2 linked regions of the Lepisosteus oculatus genome follow. The protein of the gene in region 1 interacts with the protein of each later gene in a biochemical or structural test. Links are inferred from orthologs where the notes say so. Each region holds a gene or a part of one and is shown on either strand. Other genes may lie near its edges.

Region 1 (7,785 bases):
CTTCACTGATGGATGAAGTGGAACCCCTTCTATATATCAGGCGCTTTGAGAGCCACTGGAAAGAAAGGCATAACATAAACACAAATAAACTGGCACGCTAAAGCCACACTGTACTAACTCCACCTGCATCAGAAAGTCAATTCTGGAACAAGCAGTAAGACAGCAGACCCGAAGAGTGAGTGAACCACACTAGTGTTCTCCATAATGTTCAGAAGCTAAGGGTGCTAAACACAGAGACTCCATCTGTATAACAGGAAGGGGGTCCCCCAGTATTGAAAACAAAGAGAGAGACTGCTCTCCAGACCACGCAAAGGACTGGCCTAATTACTGAACAATAGCGCCCAATTACTGAATAATAATTCCCACAGCACACACCACTAGCCCACCCCCTGCAAGACAACCCAGACAAAGGGCCTGGCGCATCTGTGGGGCGAGGAACAGCCCGAGCAGATGGGCCTGGACTCACACTCTGGATTACACAGGGAGGGAGACCCGGCCCAAGAGGAGATGCAGCACCGACTGACTGTTTGCACAAAGACTCCAGACTAAGATCACTTGAAACGTTACAAACAAGAGGAGGCCATTCCACCCATCTAGAAGAGAGGAAACAGGTCAGCGTCTTCGTTCGAAAAGGGGTCCAATGGGCAGTTTGCCCAAAGTAGAAAAAAATCAGTTCTTTACCCTTAACTAAGGCAGACGAACACCGGAAGAAGCCACATTGCTAACCTGCGGTCCTGGTCTTACTGTAACAATCTACAGGTCAAAGGCCACCTGGCCTGATACTCTGGGCCCCAGCTGCCCTGAATGATCCAGGGTCTGGTTTCCCTGAACGGACGGGCAGAGAGGCAGCTCCTCTGCCTCCTGGCTCTTCCACACTTTCACCTCTCTTACAGCAGCATCTCCCTGCTCTCGGGTGGTAGTTGAGCAGCGCTTTGTCATTTACAATGCTGGTGTATAATCTACAGAAGGTTACAGTACAGAAAACTCTAGACGTGATAACATTCAAATGATAATTCTGTGGAAGCAGGACTCAAACTGGGCCAAACGTATTCCCATCCCCTATTATCCAACTCAATACTTGGCCAGTTTGATGTGCAAATCAAGAGGTGGAAGAATCAATCAAGAACAGAACAGCCAGCAAAGCAGCACAGAAGCAAGACACTTCAGACTGTGTTCATGAAGGGTTAGAACACTTCATCCTTAACTTTCAAAAGCATTCTATTCATAAATACAGCACCAACCTAATGTTATCACAGCTCATGAGTGAAAAACATCATTTATGGATTTTTAACAACATATCCATCAAAGCACGTGAATGTACCTGTGTGAAGGTACTGGTGGGAACAGGTGTTTTGCACTGAGGAGTCAATGTCTTGGCAGTGATCAGTCAATAATCAGACTGGAAAGAGGGGTTTAAGAACACCTGCAAGGCAGATGGGATTAATGACGAATTTGCGACAGGACAGAGGCCCTGCCTGCCACAAGGAAAAGACAACACCGAGAGTGAAAGAGCTGCAGGATGTCTGAGGATATCAAGAGCTCAGCAGCAACACCGCACAGGTCATAGAATAAGGCTACACAGAGCAGCCTAGCCCTGTCCTATGAACCTGTAAATCAAGGCATGTCCAGGCGGGTCAGAGAGCTCCCTGCGGATCCGTGGGGATCTACAGCCCTGGCTGGACTCGCTCTGTCCACCGGTGCGCTCCCTGTGGATCCTGGGATTCTGTCCTGGGTCTCCGCTCTCCTCTCTACACTCATTCCCCAGGTCCTCACCTCCTGTCATGGTCTTTCACACTCAACGCGAAGGACGCAGAGTTTCTCATGTTCACTATTTATATGCCTTTCACCTCCTCCTGGACTCGATGCTCTTCTTCCAGCAGACCCCATGCATCTCTTCTCTACCAGATCCCAGGCGCCAGCCTCCCTTTCCCCTCAGCCCCTCATCACCTTTGCATGAGGTGCCCTCCCTTCAGCAAGAGTTAAGCCAAAATCTACATGGGTCCCGAGGCTGTCTGTAAGGGTGTTAATCCCAAACTGGGCTCAGACAACCTAACCTCCCCACTGGTTCCCAGTTTCTCTCTGCCCCTGCTCTGCTGCGTAAGGGGGCTGCTGCTGTTCTGTGTCTACAGGGCGATGCAGCACCCCAGCTCTCCAAGACCCATTGTGATGATGCATGCTATACAGACATGGGGACTGAACTACAAGGGCTTAATTCTCAAAATAGTAATGCAACGTACCAACTGCATTTAATCACTGCAGACAAGCTGTAAGCACCCAGTAGGTGCATAAGTTACCACCCTGCATCCCCAGAGCCTGTGCAGTTTCACCCCTACGGCTGCCTTCGCCCGTCAGGAGAGGAGCAGACTGGACACGCAGCTGCACGACTGTTCCTCGTATTAACAAGTAAACTTTCCAGTTTGCCATTCACACTGAATGAAGGGGTCTGCTATATACAGGAATAATAATAATACTTCCATTGCCTGGCCCAGGAAAGAATCTTTACTCCAGAAGACAAGGGGTTACTAGTCCACAGATAGTGCCCTTCTTATGAATTACAAGCAAATCCTGAAAAAACACCGACTGTACACATTTGCAGGACACCAGAATCCCAGCCACTGCCCTTTTATGTACCACAATTCCCATGTGGGAAGCATTTTTTACCCCGGATAACTTATTTTAAAAGGTACAATAGCTTTGAGTTAAACAACAATTTAAAACACTTAAGCTATTAAATCACTTTCGTACTTATTGATACATATATTAGGTAAACTACTTTTAAAATTCTTCCTAACATTATCGGGGATTTCTACATACATCAATAAGAGGATTATTCCACGCAGAGGCACATAAACCGCACTTTCCCGTAGTTTAAACCCCACTCGGGCTTCGGTGAGGCTGCACATCCCGATACAGACACCGCAAAGACGCCGTAAACGTGCTGGTCAGCGAGCAGAGAGACCGGACTGTGCCACCGCTCCGGCCGGCAGCGAGCGACAGACACCCGACAGCTGGATCACGCAGAGCTCCGGGACAGCTGCAAGCACAGGGACCGAGGCTCCGGGCTCCACCGTGGTGGACGAAACCAGACGGACAGAGAAGCTGAAATCCGCTCTCGCAAACCGACACGAAGCTCCGCCGCCTTCGCTCTCGGACCCGCCGCAGCCCGCAGGCTGAGCACGACAACAACAACAGACGCGGAAGACGCGGAAAGGCGCTCCTGACGTTTCGCTCCAAGCGCGACCCGGGGCTGCGGCACACGGCCACACCGGACACCAGCCCTCCGTGAGGGACAGAGCCCTGCAGGCAACACCCCGTGCCGTGTGGTTAACCTCCCGACCTCGCTCTTCCTTCCGTCTTCCCGATCGCCCGCGGAGGCCTCGCAATCCCCGGCCCCCAGTGAGCGAGCGACCCGGGCCCCCCGCTCCTGCCCTGCCGGGCCTGCCAGCGCCTCTTCTCACCGGGTCCGAGCGCTTCCATGGCCGAGGGCTCTCTCTCCGTCTCTGTCCCGGCCTGGCGGCTCCGTACCGACACTGAGATTGGGGGCGGTATCGCGAAGCTGAGAGGGTCCACTCTGAGAAACTGAGGTCCGCTGTCGCCGCTCGGTTTAAAGCGGATCCGGGGAGTGCGGCAGTGCGCCTGCGCGCCGAGCGCTGCCCCTGCTGTGCGCCTGCGCCGTCCGGGGATTTAAACTGAGCGCACGGAGACGGGCAGCACAGGCGGCTGTGGACTCCCGGGGGTTTGGTTATCGACATCTATTTGGGCAGCATAGTACATGGAGAATTCGTCTCCCGTTGGATGAGGCTTTGGTTAGCCTGTCAGCGGTTTACCCGCGGTTTTTATAAATAATTCTACCAGGGAGGAAGCAGGAAGTTATCATACCGGCCGCTAGAGGGGGCAGCGCAGTTAATTGAAAGGTCTGACATCTCCGTAAACTGGCAGCATTTCAGCTCCGTTTTTACCAACGCCGTTGAAAAGCCTTGTCCCGCGCTCACAGTATCTCTTGTGCGGAGCTCTGTCAGAGCCTGGGCTGCTCAGCGTGCTGGGGTCCGGGGAGTCACAGAGGAGAAAACGCGTTTATATCGACATGCATCTGGGGAGCACAGGGAGAAAACGGAGTGTATCATGCTACAGCTTATACTTTTCATTCAGGTTCCAAAATGTGTGGGTGTCTGTGAAATCGTCACATTCGTCAGTGATCTGTATTGTTTTACTCCTGTTAACGTGGCTGTTTGCTCTGCTCTGCAACAGCCGTCCTGTAGCTGCAGCCCTGTCCCACAGCAGCTCAGGTAAAACCAGCAGGTTTATAAAGTATAATTTGCACTTCTTATTTATTTAATCCTCATTGTAATGTACAAATTAAGGGCGTCTGCCAGAAAAGATTTTTAAATTAAATTGAAAAAATATGACATGCTTTTTATTCTTATAAATTACTTTAAAACCACCGTATTGTCACGCAGTCGGTGGTCATTTAGTACAAATAGTTAAAAGTTTCAGCGCTGTTTACATTTTAATGAGGTTCAGTTTCAGGGCAACGTTGAAATCCTGTTTTGTCTCAGAGTATCCGGAATCAAAGGGGCTGAGTATTGTTTTAACAAAACTGCAATAAATATTGTGAGCTACCGTTAAGCTTACCCAATACAAAGTGAGGGGGGGGATAAAATTCACATCTATATTTTTATTTAAAATAAGGTGATTGCTTATTTTTGCTTTATTTTAGAAAGAGAATATTTTTATTTAATTCACAGTTCTTTAGCATTACTGTATTTGTGATTCCAAGAAAAACTACACAAAACCAAGCTTTCCAATCAGACCCCCGAGTGCACTGCGACTCGCTATTGGTCCCTGCTGCTGTCCGTCACTTGCGTGAGGCGTGGCTGGGAGCGTCGGCAGCCCCCGAGGTGGAATAAGTCTGCCGAGGTGGGCGGGTGCGAGGCGGGATTGACGGCCGACAGCCCAGTCAGGAGGGAGAGGAGGGGGCGAGGGGCGGGATGGCGCCCTGGGCGCGCGAGCGGTTGAAAGTCCTTTCTGAGAGAGCGCGCGGGAGGGAGAAGCAGGCGGGCAGCTACGAGTTGTTACTGTTGCGGATTAGATCTCATCTGTTTATCTGGTTTATTTTAACTGTTTAAATAGTTTGTCAAGGAGGGCGAGAAAGTGGACGTGGCCTTGCGTGCGTTTTCATGAGTCTGTGTTGTCGAGTGTAAGCGGAAAAGAGCCCGTCGCCATGAGTGCGGCCGTGTCCCAGCAGGTTTGTGCTGTTTTAGTCACGGTGGCGAAGTGTTCGTAAAGACCCGCGGTTCGTGCTCTGGGGGGGCTGTGTGCTGCTGTGCGGCTGTCCGGCCTCCGAGAGGGCTGGGTCCGGGCGGGCTGGACGGGCCGCAGCAGCACCGCCAGCGGAACCGAGCCGTCTGACCCGGGGTGTGTTCTCCGGGCCTCGGGAGGAAAGTCTGCGGTTTGTTTTGGTTGCTGAGCTTTTCGTGGCAGCGGCTCTCTGCCGCCTCGGCTGGCTCCCGGCCCGGCCGCTGGGGGGCGCGCTGCTCCGCTCTCGCGGTCCGGTGGTTCAACGTGCGAGCGGGGTTCATAGCGGGGGCTCCTGCTTCGCCACTCGGCCTGTGTCTCGGCTGGTGCGCTGCCGTTTCAGTCCGGGGTCTGCCAGGGCGGTCAGACTGTACAGGGCCCGACGCGAGTTTCTTCCGAGCAGTCGGGACCTCGGGTCTGATCATGGGCCCAGTCGCTGGGTGTTGTTAGCCCACCGAGCTGTTGCTGCAGATATGAGCTGCTCCTTCTCTGGAGTGTCGCACTGCCGGCTGGAGGCACTGTCCTCCACTCGCAGAGCTCAGAGCAGACCCCCAGGGCGGTTTCCATGGGATCACAGGGGCAGTAAGCCCATCGGCCAGATGGGAGGAATGGCTGTGCTCGATTATAACCTTTCTTGTGTAGCCGAACTCGGCTGTGTCACCGCCAGCCGGTCAGTGTTCAGGTTTCTCCAGCTGTGCGGTGTTGTAACTGTAAGCCATCCTGTTGATGTATTGCAGTGAAGTCAATCTGCAGTAAATCATGTCTAACTATAGCGATGCTCGATACAGATGCTACCCCACGTCCTCGGGACCCGTCTGTGGTGACGCTGCGCTGTGCCGTCGTGCCCGTAGGTAACGGCCACCCGTTTTCTCTCCAGGCGCCGGACGTGCTTCCCGTGGAGGAGAGCGACTCCGACAGCGGAAAGGGCAGCTGCGACCTGAGCCCCCCTGTGCCCACGGGGGGCGCCCCAGCGATGGCTGAGAGCAGCGAGGACCAAGGTCAGCGGGGCCGGGGGTATAACGCCACAGAGCTCTGAGGGCTCTGCAGTGGGGTCACTCTGAACCTCCTGAGGCTCTGCCTGCTCCGCAGGGGGGATTTGTACAGTTACCCTGTGTCTCATAACTGAGCAGTTTGACGATGGTCCGGACCGTTCGGAAGCGAGTGTCTCGTGTGCGTCGCCTCGGAAGGTCCGTGTCAAAGACGTCTTGTGTTCCAGACTCGGACGGCGAGGTGGCTGTGAAGAGGAAGCCGCGCGGCAGGACGGCCCTGAGCGACAGCGACAGCGAGGCCGAGGAGGGAGGGGGGCCGGCCGAGGCTCTTGCCCTGTCGGAGTCCAGCGAGGAGGAGAGGCAGGAGGGAGGAGGCGGGAGGACAGGACAGCGGACGAGGAGGGTGGCGCAGGCCGCCTGGGACAGTGAGGACAGCGAGGCGGAGACGGACAGGCAGGCCGGCAAGGCACAGGGAGAGTCCCCTGCTGGGGAGACGGTGAAGCGGGAGGAGAGGTCCGAGCATTGCCGGGAGAAGGACAAGAGGAGGGCAGAGGCTGCGCCGAGAGCGAAGAGGAACAGGAGGAAAGAGGTACGTACAGGGCGCAGCTGGGAAGATGCAGCCCTGGGCCTGGAAGGGCGGCGAGCACAGGTGTGCCTGCGTCAGACAGGTAGTGCTCCAGCCAGCTTTGTCCTGCTTGCCCGGTTGGCTGTCAGTGCTGTGTCAGGGGAGAGCTGCTCAGCAGACTTCATAGTTAACAAAAATATTGAATGTCTTTGGCTGTTCTGCAGTCTTAATTTATCCTGGTCCACAGAAACATTTTAAATACACTGCATGTTCTTAAATTGTCTAGTCACTGATTGTTGGACAGGTTTTTATGTTAACTTTTTGTGCTTATTTTAAAATACTTCTGAATGAGTGTCATGTGATGTGTAAGCTTATATCGGTTCTGTGACTGCACAGTTTGAATGTGGATTTAACTGGATGGGGCATCAGTGAGGTTTGGGTGGGGTGTGTGGCTGATTCGCTAAACAAGGCCAACATTAGGACAGCAACCACTTCACTCTCTCCCTAATCTAGGAGCCCACTGCTCCCCCCTCCTTTAATGACAGTGGCTGCCTCCTCAGAGACAGTGACCTGTTTGACACAGGTGTGGGGGAGGAAGAGGAGGAGTCCCTGGATGCCATCAGAGCAGCGATGAAAAACAAGGTGAAGAAGCATAAGGTGAGCAGAGGTCATGACATGGCGACTGCAGGACTCTTGTCTGCACTGCTGTGTTGGGGGAAATGAGGAGTTAAACCTCTTTTCACTTCTGCACGTTTGACTTTAGTCACAGAGTCCTTTAGTGCTGGCAAAAGTGTCTAATGCTCTTCTGTAAAGCAGGGTCCAGCATTTTATTGTCCAAGCGGGTCTCGAGCACTTTGTCTCGGCAGATTGAGGTTTGTGTACAGACGTGTTTTTCCTGTCCCCAGGAGAGAGCCGGGAGGGAAAAGGAGGAGGCTG
Region 2 (7,396 bases), on another chromosome or scaffold:
AGAAAAGTGAATTGAAGACACTGATAAACATCACTTTCTCAACACTTCACACTGTGACCTTGGTGCTGCTTATTATACTGCAGGCAGCACAACTGTAGCTGCCTTGAAAAAGCACCTAAGGGGAAAAAAAGCAGCTGTATTGTGCCTTATGACAAGCGTGCATCACCCTAAAGCATGACCAAAAAGAAAACACAGCCGTTAAAGGGAAGCTAAGAACTAATCCAATCTCCAAAGCATGCTTTTTAAACATTTTGAATGCATCTATTTTGGAATCACTTCAGCATCTAAGAGGATTTCACAGCAAGAAAAGTACATGCTGTGTAAGGATCTTTTCATCTGCGCTGTGGAATTAGTATTTCGTCGTCTACCAGCCACGACACTGTACAGAACTTGAAATTAGCACTTACATTTTCGAAAGAAAACCCTTCACCAGATGACTATAAGACACTTCTCTCCGTTTCCAGGCACAGTATGTCAACTTTTTTTTTCCAGCTCAAACAAATGTCTCCACAATCCTGCCTTGTGAATTCCTCCCATCTCTTTTCCAAAGCCTGCACTAGTACTGGGCAACAGTTAGGACTGTGACACCACTCTGAACTGGCGAGACAATCACATGAGCTCGGAACAAATGTTAACACAGTATTTAAGCACAACACTCTAGGGAGTTTTCTTTTAATCTTTAAGCCACAAAAAGGAGTGATTTCTAGATCCCATGACCTATTTGCTATGTATACAACATAGAGCTACAACTTGCTCACATATCACAAAGCTACAAAAAGCCACTTGACACATTTCTCAGATGTTGACTGCTGTTTCACAAACTGACTGTGACAGATTTTAGACTGCTTAATAATGGGGAGACCAGATCAAGATACAATATGCACAGCTTAAAGGCAAAGGTCATTACTTACAAAAGCATATTTTGTTTTTCTTTCATAAGGTGACCATGTTAACCATTTTACTTCCCCACAAGCAGCTCTGCAATGCCAGTCAAACAGAAAATAAGACAGGATACAAAACGGATGGGGGATAGAACACAAAAGTTGTAATCAGTAGGATAATGAATATAAACCAAAACTTAAAATAAACAGTTCACATCGGAACCTTGTATTCAGTACATATTGTTTGGAGGATTGCTTGTAACTATATACACTGCTTGGAGCACAGGACCTATTTACAGTTATGAATAATCCGATTCAAACTGTCATGAGTTGATTTTTTTTTGCAGTACATTACCGCCATGGTTTTATTAGGGCTTTTACATGAATAAGCTCAATTATTACCGATCCAGGCACTGCAATACTGTTGACTACGAAGAGAACAAGCGAGGAGTGTGGGAGTGTGTTCGCCACGGTTATCCAAACTTGCCCTAAACCTCTGAAAACTGACTTCACAGTGGTCAGTGCTGGCTTAGTGTCTGTTTCATTAACATTTACGGTCCCAGAACACATCAGCAGTCTAAGGGAATAATAAAGATGACATCCGAATGAGTACGTACGGGCACATCGTGTGTCACAGGTGTTTGGTCTGTGACACACACTCTCATTCTTATAGCTTAGAGGTAGGGCTGTACAAATAGAAAAAAACCTTTCAGAAGCCACTATGCGACAGTCCAGAACACATGGGACTAGAGAGATGAGCTGAGTGTCATACAAGTAGCACAGAGCTCCCATGCTTTTGCATAATACGGGCCAAAGATCACACCAGATCCTAACACCTTAACAGCACAGCAGCAGTGCAGACAAATGGTTACTGGGTCACCAACGAGCCTACACGTACACTCTGTGAGGCTGCTTCGTCAGTTTACAAGCTGCCAATTAAATTATCAGATTTAATGAGCTTCTTAATTAAGTCTGATTATTTAATCGTGGTGATTAAATTATCATTAAAAGAAACCTTCTTGGGCTGCACAGGAACGTGCGGAAGCGTCTTCCCCCTGATCTGTTAAGACATTTCCCAGTACTCGCGACAGGCGGTTGGGGTGTCCTGGCGCTGCCACCCCAGTCGTGTCGTTCAGTTCATCCGGACACACAGCGCAGTCTGACGGGTGTACTGCTCGGACTTGCTCCGGACCAGGAAAAGGCCCCCGTACACACAGCGAAACGATGGTGGCGAACCCGGTAAGGGAAACCCGAAGTGATCCTGTATGTTCACATACTCGGAACTTGAAGAAAGCACCCATCGTGTCCGACAACTACAGTGTCAGCGCTGTTTCTAGCTCAAAGCCAACAATTCAACATGAACCGGACTACGCAGGAGACACCCGTCGCAAAGCTCACAGCTCAGCCCAGAGCTGCAACAGTAGAGCTCTGCTGGCAACAGTGAACTCTGGATACATCTGACGGTTTAAGGTTTCACGAACACAAAAGTGGAGAGAATGCTTTGTAAAAACACTCAACAAACAGTTAACAGAGAGTACGCACAACGTACCTCACTGCGTGTCTGGACTTCTAAACGGATCAAACTAATTTAAATAGCCTTTTCGTAATTAAATTCGATTTTTTTTTTAAAGATAAAGATACGGTTTCAGACAAAAGCTAAACACGCTTTGCTAGCACCCCTCGATCGATCGGATGATTAATAATGTGATAATCTCATTGGTAAGTCTTTTTTGAAAAAGAGATAAACCTAAAGATGTTTAACAGCCCTCCTTTAACTTTCACCTTTAACTGGCATTATCTTTTAACAAAGTATGAACTTGTCCACGATGCCACCTCCCTCCCGATTTTCAGAAACATTAATTAAATGTATTTCCTGGAGAGTGGCGAGACTGAGATCGCTAATAATAGTCATTTGTTTCTGTGAAAGGGGGGATAGGAAAGAAAATCATCATCCGGACTTACTTTCACGCAGATGTTGATTAGGTTTGATCCACTCAGTAACACGATCCCCCTAATCGGTGCCACTCGTGAAAGCGCTGAGACCCCTGCGTGTTAAAGCTTTTGTATTTTATCCTGAAGCTTTTTTTTCCCCTTTTTGCTCTGTCTCCTGAGCAGTGAAAGGCTCCTGCAGTTCCGGAAGTGCTGATCCAGCACCACCCGCCTAGGAACACAATCACTTCCGGGTAGTCGAGTACAACTCGGCAGCGCCGCCTGATGGATCGACGGCTTTTGAGTCTTTGTCAGCTGCAGGGTGCTGTCTGAAGCGAAGCAAGTTAGTCTGAATACAGGGGGGATCACATTCGAAACAAGTACCAGATAGTCTGCCAAGTCCAACAGCTTCGTAATGCAGAAAACAAAGTGTACTGTAGTATAGCACGCCCAGGATTTCAGAAGATTCAACTATACAAAAGCAATACACTATCCAACATCTAACACAATAACCTTATTTTTAAACTCATTTTACTTATATAAAGGAATGACTTAATATAGTAATAATATGATTCTCATTATATGTAACATTCATCCATTCATTCCCTTAACTGACAAGCAATGGGCGCAAGACAGGGTACACTCTGGGAGGGAAGGCAGTCCATTGTAGTAATAATATAAATCATTTTGATTTTGACAAAGAGCAATAGGCAAACAATAAAATAGGCAGTTTTGTTGAGAAGTGTGCATCATGATGGGATACAGATATATCTGTATAGTATAAATAATCTATATACAGGACAGACTAGATATCCTCTGCGAGGAACTACTACCTCCTTCCATTTTTTAAATCTCAGCTCAGCAGGATCATTCTGTATCGTCCTGACACGGACAGCTGCCTGTGCTGGCGTGTTTCTCTTGAAACAATAGCACACAAAACCATGTGGGGCTCTGCTTGCCTTTCGCACAGGGAGAGCGCTCATGGACACTTCTTACCCTCACTCGTGTGACTGAGATTAATTCCACCTAAGAGATTTTTTCCTGCCGTTTTTCTACGGCGGCAGCTGCCAGCATTGTTCACGGCAGGGCCCAGCTTTGATTTCCTGTTTTTCCACAGGGATCACCACCAGGGCTACGAAAGGAACTAGGAGGTTTAGGTCTGAGGTTAGTGATATAATCCAAGCTAAATAAATAAATGACAGTGCATATTTTTATATATACAGTATATAAATGGTGTACCATTGAACATCTATTTGGAGATTATAAGGTTAATGTAATACATCAGCAAGTCTTTAAAAGCCGTTCAGATATACCTGAAAATCTCCCAGACGAAGTCCACTCACCACACACCAGTGCTTGGAAGCAGTGCTTCTGGGCATTGTCACACACAGCCTAGCCAAGCAATGTAATGATCCGTTTCAATTAGCAAGAGTTAGAACTGACACAATCGTACAATCAAGCTCTTCAGGCCCTTTAACCCTTAGAATGAGCGTCTGGCAACAACCACTTTCTTCCCGAAGAAGGGTCCACAGCCGAAACATTGTGTTTCTTTTCTTCTCTTTTCAGCATAGAATTAACCTATTACTTGTTCCTTTGCAACCACTTTCTTTGGTTGCTTTGCTAAAAGGAAAGGGCAGACCTCTAGTGTCATAAATCTGAATTAGGTTACCAAAATGCAGTGCAACACCTGTCAGAGAAAACAGAAAACACTGTATATTTAACTCCTCTGATGCTCCAGTATGTGTTGCAGTAAGTACTGCTGATCTCCTCAGCAGACATGTCTTTTTCTTCACCAAAGACATGAAATGGTAAGAATAATAAATTAGTTTGTTTTATAGTGAGTAACAGAGGATATAAATGTAACAGGAAAGTGTGCAGCAGTCTCTGATGCTCATGGACTTTCTCTTTAATGAAGCGCAACGTTTCATTTGTCCCATGACAGGACAGACATGCAATCACAGGCAGAAGAGAAGATGATTCTGATGATCAGTGATGTACCAATTACTCTTAAGTAAAAGATAGAGGTACTGTAATGTTCCATATAAAAAATGGGAAGTTATCTGGTTCCTTCTAATATTCAGTGCATTCACTTTTACTACAGGAGTAAAGGAAAAGTTACAAATCAGCTCATTTATTCTGATGAACTACTTTGACTTTTTAAGACACCCTTTACACCACCCATGAAAAAAGACACTGGAGCAAAACAGACACAACATGCTGCAATACTGCAGCCGTGGCCTCTGTGGTAGAATCCAGGGATCTGCAGTAATACGTGGAAATAATTCACCCATTGTCTAAAAAGGTCTGCACCCGATAGGAATCCCTTCATTAACTCATTGCAAATCCCTTATCTAGCAGCATATTCAAATCAATGCTCACAATACTCATGTTAATATTGGTGAATTGTCCTGAATTTAAATTCATAGCACTTTTTATTGGAGGTCACTGCTGACGGCAATATGTCGAATATAGGATTCCCAAGTCAAAACTACCCTAATATAAATTGAGCCTTTGTGTATTTGGGAACAGAATTTTCGCAATTTCATTAACAAAATTCTAACAGCAGAGCACAACAGTAATGCAGTGGTTACAACAGATTAAAGTCCTGTGTCCTAAGATATACAGCCGAGATATTCTACCCACTGTGGTAAAATGTCTGGCTATTTCCTTACCCCAGAGGTGTAGCAGTTATCACCTCCAATCTTAACATTCACTTCAATCTTCCTCCAGCTGCAGGATGCCCTTAAGCACATAACTGTCTGCTCTCCTAGGCTCAATCAGCTCCAGTTCTATCCTTGTACACACCACTGTTCAGCCCAGCATCTCTAAAGATGTTACAGCAATTAAGGGTTTTGACTATAATGGCTGAACATCATTCAAGATCTTCTTTCTCTACATTAAGAGTCCTCTCCTAATCCTCTTTGAACACCTCCTCAGCTGATCTCATTTCACATTTCTTCGGCCTCAACAGTCCATCCTTCCTCTAATCCTCTGCACATTAAGCTCCGCCATAATCCAGTTATGATATCTTAAAACGTCACAATTACTGTACTTTGTGCATTCATTGCCCGTTATTGAGGAATATGTGCTTTTCAGTCAAATGTGCTGCTGGGTTATGTGTGGAGCCTACGTTAAAGAAAGCAAAGAATGTAGATGTGCACAGTAGGATTGCTATGGATTTCTCTGTGTAGAAGTAGTTACAGACAAAAAGCACAGGGCTCCCACTTTCTATCCATGAGTGCAAAATATGTATTAATTGCACACAATAATGCAGTGTATATATTGTACATGCAGAAACAGTTAAACCAAATTAAAGCAGTGAAACCTTTGCAAGTTATAATTATCCCACTCATAAATATTTATACTCATGTCTGTTGTTCACTTACCAATTAAACATTAGGACTGAAAGGAAATCTTTCAATTCAAAACAATGTTTGAGTGAAAGAATGTGTTATAACTGCAACTCGTTTTTTTTTTCTCTGCTGTGTAACAATACCATAACAGTCACAGTATTTTCAGTGTGGTAGGTTATGTTTCTCCTATCAAATCGTCACCACGCATAATTGCTTTCTTTTTGCTTGCATCTAAATACCAGATTCTAAAGGTCAAGAGAGTGCTAGAAAGAACTCTGCCATGGGGAAATACCATACGCAACACTAAGATGCCATTCATAATATCATGTATGATTTTTCTCACCATCTTATAAAAATCATATTGCTGCTCTGGAATCAGTCCACAGAAAAGATACCCAATGCGTTCCAGAGTCCTAATTCAAAGTCACTGATGAAGTCAATCCAAGGAATTTCTAAATCAAGAGTGTCATTTGAACCATGGGACACAAGCAGAAATCATGAAGAAACGCATTGTGTGTACCAGTGAAATCAGCAGGGATGTGCCTTTAAACAGGAAGTCAAAGGCCACTTTACAAAAAGGACTGTGGGAGTCTGAAAGTTGATAAGATGGCTCTTTAAAGAGATGCAGTTGGATGATGGTCTTGGATCAATTAGCCAAGAAATATTGTAGATGTGCTAGAGGATTCTCTCATTTGTAGCGATTCGTAGGTTCCATTAGGCTTGCTGATGCTTTAAAATGTTTGCTTTCATTGCCTCAGGATGTATTCCTTCACAGCAACACCCACAACCTTCCCACTGCATTTTAATTGTATTCTTCAGCCAGGCCCTGGACACTTGCGGCTTTATTGAGCTACTTAATCCCATTCGATCTGCAACCCCACCTGTGGCAGATGAAATCCCAGGTCCCATCTGCCTCGGCTTTCGCATTTTCAGACACCCCATTTACCGGGGAGTCCTAGAATGATGGCAACAAAAGATCACATCCCAATTTCAAAAGCAGGATATTCCAATAAATCTAAGAAAAATCATGAATGTAATTTGGCTTTTGACTGACTGCTTCCCTACTACAGTATAGCAATAATGTAGCATTGTAATTAAAATCTTCCTAGATTTCAGAAGAAATCTACTGTGCCAGAATACGAAAAAGAATCCCAGATGCACCAAACAGAAGCATGAGAATGTAGAGTTTTAATTGAGGGAGGTGAAGGATGGTGTTGGATTAATCTTTCGTCA

Evidence for each region.
Region 2: of the proteins of claspin (region 1) and csnk1g1, one has a biochemical effect on the other in vitro, tested with the Homo sapiens proteins (2 studies listed by BioGRID). The link is inferred for Lepisosteus oculatus from reciprocal best matches to the Homo sapiens genes CLSPN and CSNK1G1.

Annotation. Positions count from the first base shown.
Region 1 is NC_090706.1:162,286-170,070, forward strand, and holds the start of claspin, read left to right. Parts: upstream 1-4,764; 5' UTR 4,765-5,221; coding exon 5,222-5,245; intron 5,246-6,172; coding exon 6,173-6,293; intron 6,294-6,511; coding exon 6,512-6,873; intron 6,874-7,362; coding exon 7,363-7,506; intron 7,507-7,754; coding exon 7,755-7,785. Other genes in the region: ago4 (protein argonaute-4), read right to left, coding at 3,459-3,477.
Region 2 is NC_090700.1:60,265,178-60,272,573, forward strand, and holds the start of csnk1g1 (casein kinase I), read right to left. Parts: upstream 3,023-7,396; 5' UTR 2,844-3,022; intron 1-2,843.